Linked DNA regions of Callithrix jacchus. The protein of the gene in region 2 interacts with the protein of the main gene of each other region in a pairwise test. Links are inferred from orthologs where the notes say so. Each region holds a gene or a part of one and is shown on either strand. Other genes may lie near its edges.

The links.
Region 1: the proteins of PUM2 (region 2) and DAZL interact in a two-hybrid assay, tested with the Homo sapiens proteins (2 studies listed by BioGRID and IntAct). The link is inferred for Callithrix jacchus from reciprocal best matches to the Homo sapiens genes PUM2 and DAZL.

Annotation. Positions count from the first base shown.
Region 1 is NC_133518.1:55,391,358-55,395,106, forward strand, and holds the start of DAZL (deleted in azoospermia-like), read right to left. Parts: upstream 2,693-3,749; 5' UTR 2,488-2,692; coding exon 2,485-2,487; intron 1-2,484. UniProt on the Homo sapiens protein: RNA-binding protein, which is essential for gametogenesis in both males and females. Plays a central role during spermatogenesis.
Region 2 is NC_133515.1:94,857,356-94,861,030, reverse strand, and holds the start of PUM2 (pumilio homolog 2), read right to left. Parts: upstream 2,816-3,675; 5' UTR 2,743-2,815; intron 2,689-2,742; exon of another isoform or gene 2,435-2,688; intron 2,211-2,434; exon of another isoform or gene 2,114-2,210; intron 1-2,113. UniProt on the Homo sapiens protein: Sequence-specific RNA-binding protein that acts as a post-transcriptional repressor by binding the 3'-UTR of mRNA targets.

The DNA.
Region 1 (3,749 bases), on a different chromosome or scaffold from region 2:
AGCTAATGATCGATGATCAACTTTATGATTTTAAAAAGTGCACAATATACTGAAATATTTTCCAGCTATTAGGTTAACAATTTTTAAAATCCTAATACCTTTTATTGGAAAATGTGTGGAAAAGAGTGGGAACATATGCCAACAGTGGGAAAATACTGATAGACGCTTTACCCAAGAGTAGGTTGGAAAAGGTGTTATCAAAACTGGATAGGCGGGGATACTCACCACCATACTAACAAGGAGCATAATTTAAAATTGTTATAAAAGGGGCAAAGAGCTTTCACCCAGCAATTCCACTTACAGCAATTCATCTCAAGGAATAGTACAAGTGTGCCAAGATACATACTAGGATATTCACAGCATTTTTTTTTAGACTGAGTCTCTAGGCTGGACTGCGTGCAGTGGCACCATCTCAGCTCACGGCAACCTTTGCTTACCAAGTTCAAGTGATTCTCCTGCCTCAGCCTCCTGAGTAGCTGGGATTACAGGTGCACGCCACCACAGCCGGCTTTTTTGTTTTAGTAGAGGCAGAATTTCACCATGTTAGCCAGGCTGGTCTCAAACTCCTGACTTCAAGAGATCCGCTGGCCTCAGCCTCCCATGACTTTGGTGTGAGCCACCGCACCCAGGCCACAATAGCATTGTTTTAATACTGAAAAACTATTCATCATAAGGGAATTCGGTAAAATAAAGGTATAGTTTTTAGCATGATAAATTGAAAGTTAAAGTTACCTTCAGAATAATGCCGACATTAATTGAAAGATGCAAGCTGTAAAACAGTATTATGCAGCAACTTTTGTAAAAAGTGGCCCATCTATATGCTATTCCTGCATAAAAATCATCTGGGGCCGGGCGCGGTGGCTCAAGCCTGTAATCCCAGCACTTTGGGAGGCCGAGGCGGGTGGATCACGAGGTCAACAGATCGAGACTATCCTGGTCAACATGGTGAAACCCCGTCTCTACTAAAAATTACAAAAAAATTAGCTGGGCACGGTGGCGCGCGCCTGTAATCCCAGCTACTCACGAGGCTGAGGTAGGAGAATTGCCTGAACCCAGGGGGTGGAGGTTGCGGTGAGCCGAGATCGCGCCATTGCACTCCAGCCTGAGTAACAAGAGCGAAACTCCATCTCAAAAAAAATAATAATAATAATAATCTGGAAGGGCATACCTGTATCAAAATTTAACTGTGTTTTTAAGTGTTGGGATTAAGATGGATTGCTATTTTCTTACAGTGATTGTTTTCAAATGAGTAAACATGCTTTTATAATCAGAAACCCCGAGGAAACTATTAGCATTTCTTCCCTTACCTCCTACAAAAAAAGTATTGTAAATTGTTACTTATAACTCAAGGTGATGTATTAGTATAACTACATGTTGCACAATTATTACATAAGTTGTTTTTATTACTATATTTTTATTTTAATGTTTATACATGCTAATATAAACTGTGTATAAATTTCCTTTTATCTCTAAAAATGAGACAGAATTATCAATGCAGACAAACACACAGCATATAATACACGCGTTGGTGACTCAGTGGTTGGTCAGTGTATTCAGAGCTGCATCTCGTGGTGGCACTGAAACAACGCAGGGCATTTACGAAATTCATAGAACCGTATACCTAACACCATCCCAAATGGACATTTTGTCAAAGATTCCTGGTTTATGCAGAGAGGAAAAAAACTGTGCCCCGAGTACAAAAATTCTAAAATTCTCAATGGCAACTGAGGGCCACCTCGTGCCACAAAGATGGCGTCAGGCGAGTTGTGCCTGTCACTGCTGGACGAGGGAGCCATCATCAGCCAGTCCCCAGCAGGTGGAAGGCGCGAGGGGACCAGAGGCACTTCCAGCCCAGCTCCACTCAGCTAGCGGCTGCGCTTTAAGGACTCCCCATACCCCACGCTGAGGCCCCCACAAACCCCGCCCACACCACCCCATACAAAGACCGGGAGGGAACCACTTCCTGAGGAAGCTCCCGCCTTCTGAGTCCAAGGAGGCAAGTCGCTCAGCAGGCCTGCCGCCATCTTCAAAAAGCCACGCGGAGACCACCGGAAGTAAGGCTGGCAGGATGGAGCCCGCCACGGGGTGGGGGCAGGGGAGGGGCAGGGGGTGGGGGAGGGGTAGGGACGTGTGGGGGTGGGGAACCCGCACCCTAAACTTCGGCAGGCAAGGCGGGAAATAGGTACCACACTAAAGCCGGGGCCCTTGCACATGGCCTGAGAAGCAGCGGGCGGCGTCCTCAGGACCCACACCACCACGCCACTCTCGGCGTCCCGCCACCTCAGCGCCTCACTCTGTGTAGGCCGCACGGCCGCCATGCCGCCTCACCCCACCCTGCAGGCCACCACTCGTGGTGCGTCCAGACGGCGGGGCCCCTAAACAAAAAAGCCGGGGTGACTTCGCTTTCCACCTCCGCAAAGCCGGGTTTCACCCACAGCTGAAAACCCCGCCGACCTTGCCCCTCAGTCCTCCCCCTCAACTCACCATGATGGCGGCAGACAGTAGTTTCCGACTAGCTCGAGGACTGGAGGCTGTGCTTCACGCACCGCTTCTGGGGTTGCTGTGAGGTCCGCTAGAACCCGCTGCGCGGCTTCGAGTGGTCAAAGGAACCAAAGGCAGGTGAGAAAGCTGAGGAGCCCCGAAAGACGGTCCGTCAGGCTGAGGAGCGCAGGCGGACTGAGGCGTGGTTTGTGGGGAGCGGGGAGGTGGCTCCTGCGCCGGGTATCGGGGCGCGTGGTATCCGCCTCAGCCAATGGGTGGCAGCGCCCCCGCCTCCCTGCGGGGGGGGGGCCTGCGGGGGGGTGACGGCGCCCACGGTGCGTGTACGTAGGGTACGCAGGGCGTGTGTGGGTGTGCGCGTAGGGCCAGTGTCTTGGTCCCAGGTTGGCGCCGCCCTCACATGAACAAACAGACACACAGACACACACATCACCTCCAAAATGCCCTTAAAAACCGTTGAAATAAGCATGCCTACTGAAATATATGGTACAGTTTTAAAAAATAATAATCTAATGTGTCTAGGCTGTAGTTTCAAAATGGTTTCTCGAAGGCACAGGGTCAGTCCAATCACTGTTAGCTTCACACCCATCTCAAAATCTTTTTAAATGCCTGTAGAAATAAATAGAAGGAAGTCTGTGGAAAACGGAAGATTCACAGGCCAGAAACTTGGACTCCCTTCTGTCAAGTTTGAGATAGAAGGGGTTGGATAGGAGGAAATGCCAGTTTGACATTCAGGATGTTCGTTCTTTCAGGAAACAGTTACCAATTGCCTGTGATTACCAGGTACTGCAGATGCAGGAGTGAACAGAGTAAAAGAATATCTCTTCGCTCAGGGATCCTACATCTTTATGGGAGAATTCCCCTTCCAGGCCTTACAGGGAGAAGCTAGGCCTTCCTGGAGAATTCTAGAACATTCTCATGGTCAGAGCAAGAGCCCAGAGCAGGAGTGACCTGTGGGGCAGGTGATGGAGCCAATCACATAACTTTGGGAACCACTCCTTCCTACAGGGCTAAGTGGCTATGACCCTTATCCGCAAACTTAACTTGTGTACTGACAGCCGTAAAATGTTACTTTTTGAGCTGGCAAAATAATGGACTTCCATAACTAACAGCTAGTAATGCGGGATAAAAAAAAATAACATTTTATTTTCAATATGCAGCTAATACGATAAGAAAAGAAGGGGAATTCTAAATACCAAAAATAAACTGAAAACCAGAGCAATGACTTGTCCAACTGATTCTTCTCCTGC
Region 2 (3,675 bases):
AGTTCAGGAGACAGGAACCAACCTCCACTTAAAATTATGCAAATCGTGTGAGAATCTATAAAAAGGAGACAGCTTGGTCACTGAGAAAACTGGCTGTGAATTTCACACCTGGCCCAAACCTCTGGTCATAATTACATTTACCTAAGATAAGCAAATTATCTTTCAACACCAGAAATGTTTACAAACAAGCCGGTTACTGGTTCTGCAATCTGGGCAGAGGTGGGAGGATGGCTTGTGCTCAGGAGTTCGGCCTAGGCAACATAAGAGACCAGCCTAGGCAACATAGTGAGGCTCTGTCTCCACAAAAGACGCAAAAATTAGCTGGGCGTGGTGGTGTGCACCTTCAGTCCCAGCGACAGTTACTCAGGAGGCTTAGATGGAAGAACAGTTGGAGCCCGGGACACAGAGGCTAAAGTGAGCAGGGATCTCAGCACCTGCACTCCAGCCTGGGCATGCCAGACCCTGTCTCAAAAAAAAAAAAAAAAAATTATAAACAAGTATGGAATGCTGAAGAGAAACAAAATCCAAGTATTATTTGGTAATTTGTATACAGTATTTGTAACGCCTGAGAATTTAGCCTAAAGTGACAGCTTAATTTATGTTCTTTTTAGAAATTGAAATCTTGCTAAATACTGAAACACCTAAGAAAACTTTGGACTCAAGACAAATGAAGTTAAGGAAAGCATGTGTTAAACACAGCTTAAACTGTTGGAAGATGCATAAATTTGTTAATGGCAACTGTAACTCCTAACAGCTAGACTTGTAAACAGATTTAAAAAGCTGGAGTTAGGTCGGCGCGGTGGCTCAAGCCTGTAATCCCAGCACTTTGGGAGGCCGAGGCTGGTGGATCATGAGGTCAAGAGATTGAGACCATCCTGGTCAACATGGTGAAACCCCATCTCTACTAAAAATACAAAAACTTAGTTGGGCATGGTGGTGCGTGCCTGTAATCCCAGCTACTCGGGAGGCTGAGGCAGGAGAATTGCCTGAACCCAGGAGGTGGAGGTTGCGGTGAGCCGAGATCACACCACTGCACTCCAGCCTGGGTAACGAGCAAAACTCCGTCTCAAAAAAAAAAAAAAAAAAAAATAAAAGCTGGAGTTAAATCCTCAAGAAACAGGTTTCTGAAATGTAATTTTATTTTTAAGATTATCGTAAACCTTTTCTGCATACAAACTGTCCACATGGACACCAAGAAAATTTTACACAATGCAATTTCACCAAAAATCAGAATTTTAAAGAAATTCTTGCAGCACAGAAAATGCCATCATTTATTCATAACTGAACAAATGAAGTAAATAATTTTTTAAAAGACTAAGAATAGAAACAAATTGAAAATACTCATTTTTGTATTTTTTTACAGGATTCCTTAAAGTCATCTTCCAATACTCCACGTCACATGAAGAGTCACCTACTAAACACCAAACCTAATCATTAAACAAGCTTTTAAAATCCTTCCATAACTCCCTTTATTAAAATTGTTTTCTTGACATACAGTACCTTTACAGGTATTACATTTCTTCTCAGTATTTACAAGCATTTTTCTCATGTTTTCCTTCAACAGTTTCACCAAACATCTGCCCCCCAGTTTTCTCAAGTAAAAATCAAGTACCAAATCCTGACATGACGCCTTATTGCACCTAATATGTTGGCAATACATTCCCCTCTCCAAAAGTTTACATGTTAGAATGAAAAGCTAAGTAGGTTTTCTTTAGCTGTGTTCTCAAATAACACTAACTTTTACACGTGTTTGGGCATAAAACTTTAAATGTTTTCCCCAAAAATGTGACCCAACTCAGATACAAAACTACTGCTCAAACGGCAGAAGCCGCTGATCTTGTCTTTGGTTTTAATTTACATATTTTTCTGAGTATCGAAATCTGTTCCTAGAACAAAACATAACCTAAACAAGGCGAACGCCAGTCACGGCTTCCTACCCGCGTCTGTCCACGGCAAGCTTTTCCTGGACACACTCGGGCCTTTGAAAATGCCCACACTTGTTTTCATAAACCCACTCCTTCCTCTTCACCCACTTGCAATCCGCATGCTTCCCTGGGGCCACCCGGCCTCTCCCCCACTTTCCGAACCCAAGGGCGACAGCTCGGTCTCTAACCTCCAGCGCGCCGAATCGGAGGGAGACCCGGGTCCGCGCCCCATGCCCCCGAGGCGGCGGTGGCTGCGGCGATCCGGAGGGAAGGAAGCGGGAAAGCGGCCGGCGCGGCGCCCCCTCCCCCGCGTGCGCACACCCCCTTCCGGCGCCCCTCCCCCTGCATTGTGCGAGCCGGCCCCAGGCCGCACAGGCCGGGGAACCCCGCAGGCCCCGTCCGCCCTCCCACCCGCGATCGGCTACCGCTAAGGCCGCCCCACAAAGCCCAGGGAGCCAGCCTCGGCGGCGCCAAAGGACCGGAGAAAGAGCAAGCGCGGAATGACTTACGGGGCTGCTGCGGCCGCGCTGCCTCAGCCGGGGACACCGACCGTTGGGCACACGGCGGCGTCGCTCTTGGCGGTCCTCCCCCTCCTCCGCCTTCGGTGGCGGCAATGTCTTCTTTCTCCACCTACCACCCTCCCCCCCCACCCCACCTCCTCCTTCTCCTCCCCCTCCTCCTCCGAACCACCGAAGTACCGAGGGTGAGACACAGAGACTCACAACAACATGGCTGCCACCGCCGCCTCCCCTCCCCTCCCCCCGCCCACCGGGCGCGCGCAATGCACCCCGGGAGAAAGGGGAGGGGGAGCGCTCACCGAGGCGCGGCTCCTTTCAATGCCTAGCATCCCTGCTCCCGCGCTCCCGCCGCGCGGGCCCGGGGCGCTCTGCGCGTGCGCACGCTCTCTGCGATCTCACGTGTTCGGCCGCGTCTCCGGCGTTCCCTCCCCCGCCCTCACCTTGTGGGCTCGCGCTTCTATTCCGGACTGTGTCGCCGCGGGACTCGGACAGCGCAGGCGTGCTGTTGCCAAACGCTGTGTTAGCTGTCTTCCCGCGTGGGGCCTCGACTTCTGAATCCTTTCACCCTCGGCTTCCTCCCCAGTTGCTCATTGTTTTAGCCCAACTGCGTGTGCGGGTGTCGGCGCCCGCGCCGCCCACCTTGGGGTACTCCTGGCATTTCGCTTCCGGAGTGCTGGCGCCAACCAGAGCTGGACGTTAATTCAGGTCTTAAGCTTTCACCCTGTGCCTCCCCACGATGGAGATGCGTCTGGGCGTGGAAAATTGTACCCCACAAGAGGGTTGTCACTCTCGTGGTTGCACCCCAGGCTAGTGGAGCCAGCTCTCAGCAAATTGTCGGCTCCCAGTGCTTGGCCCGGGTGCACACAAAGGAAACTCAGGTCGGTCTCCAGCTGGGCCAGTGATTCTCACTCGTTGGCTGTCTTTCCTTCTCGCGGACCTAACGCTCTCTCCTCCCGGGTTTACAGGCTAGTTGGATACCAAATCTGCCTTGCTGTCGTGGCCCCGGTGCAAAGCCGCGGTGATTCCAGGATTGTAACCTAACTTGCTCCAGGTCACACAGCTGTAACAGGCACTGTGTCCGATTTGTTCTTGATGGTTTGCACAGCTCCTGGCTCTCCTGATAACGCTGCACTTCGTAAACATTCAGGGCCTTCTAATTACTTGGCTTAATGTATGTCTTCCCTAGGCGACTGTGAGCTCTGCGAGGGCAGGGATCTTGTGTTTTGTTCCAC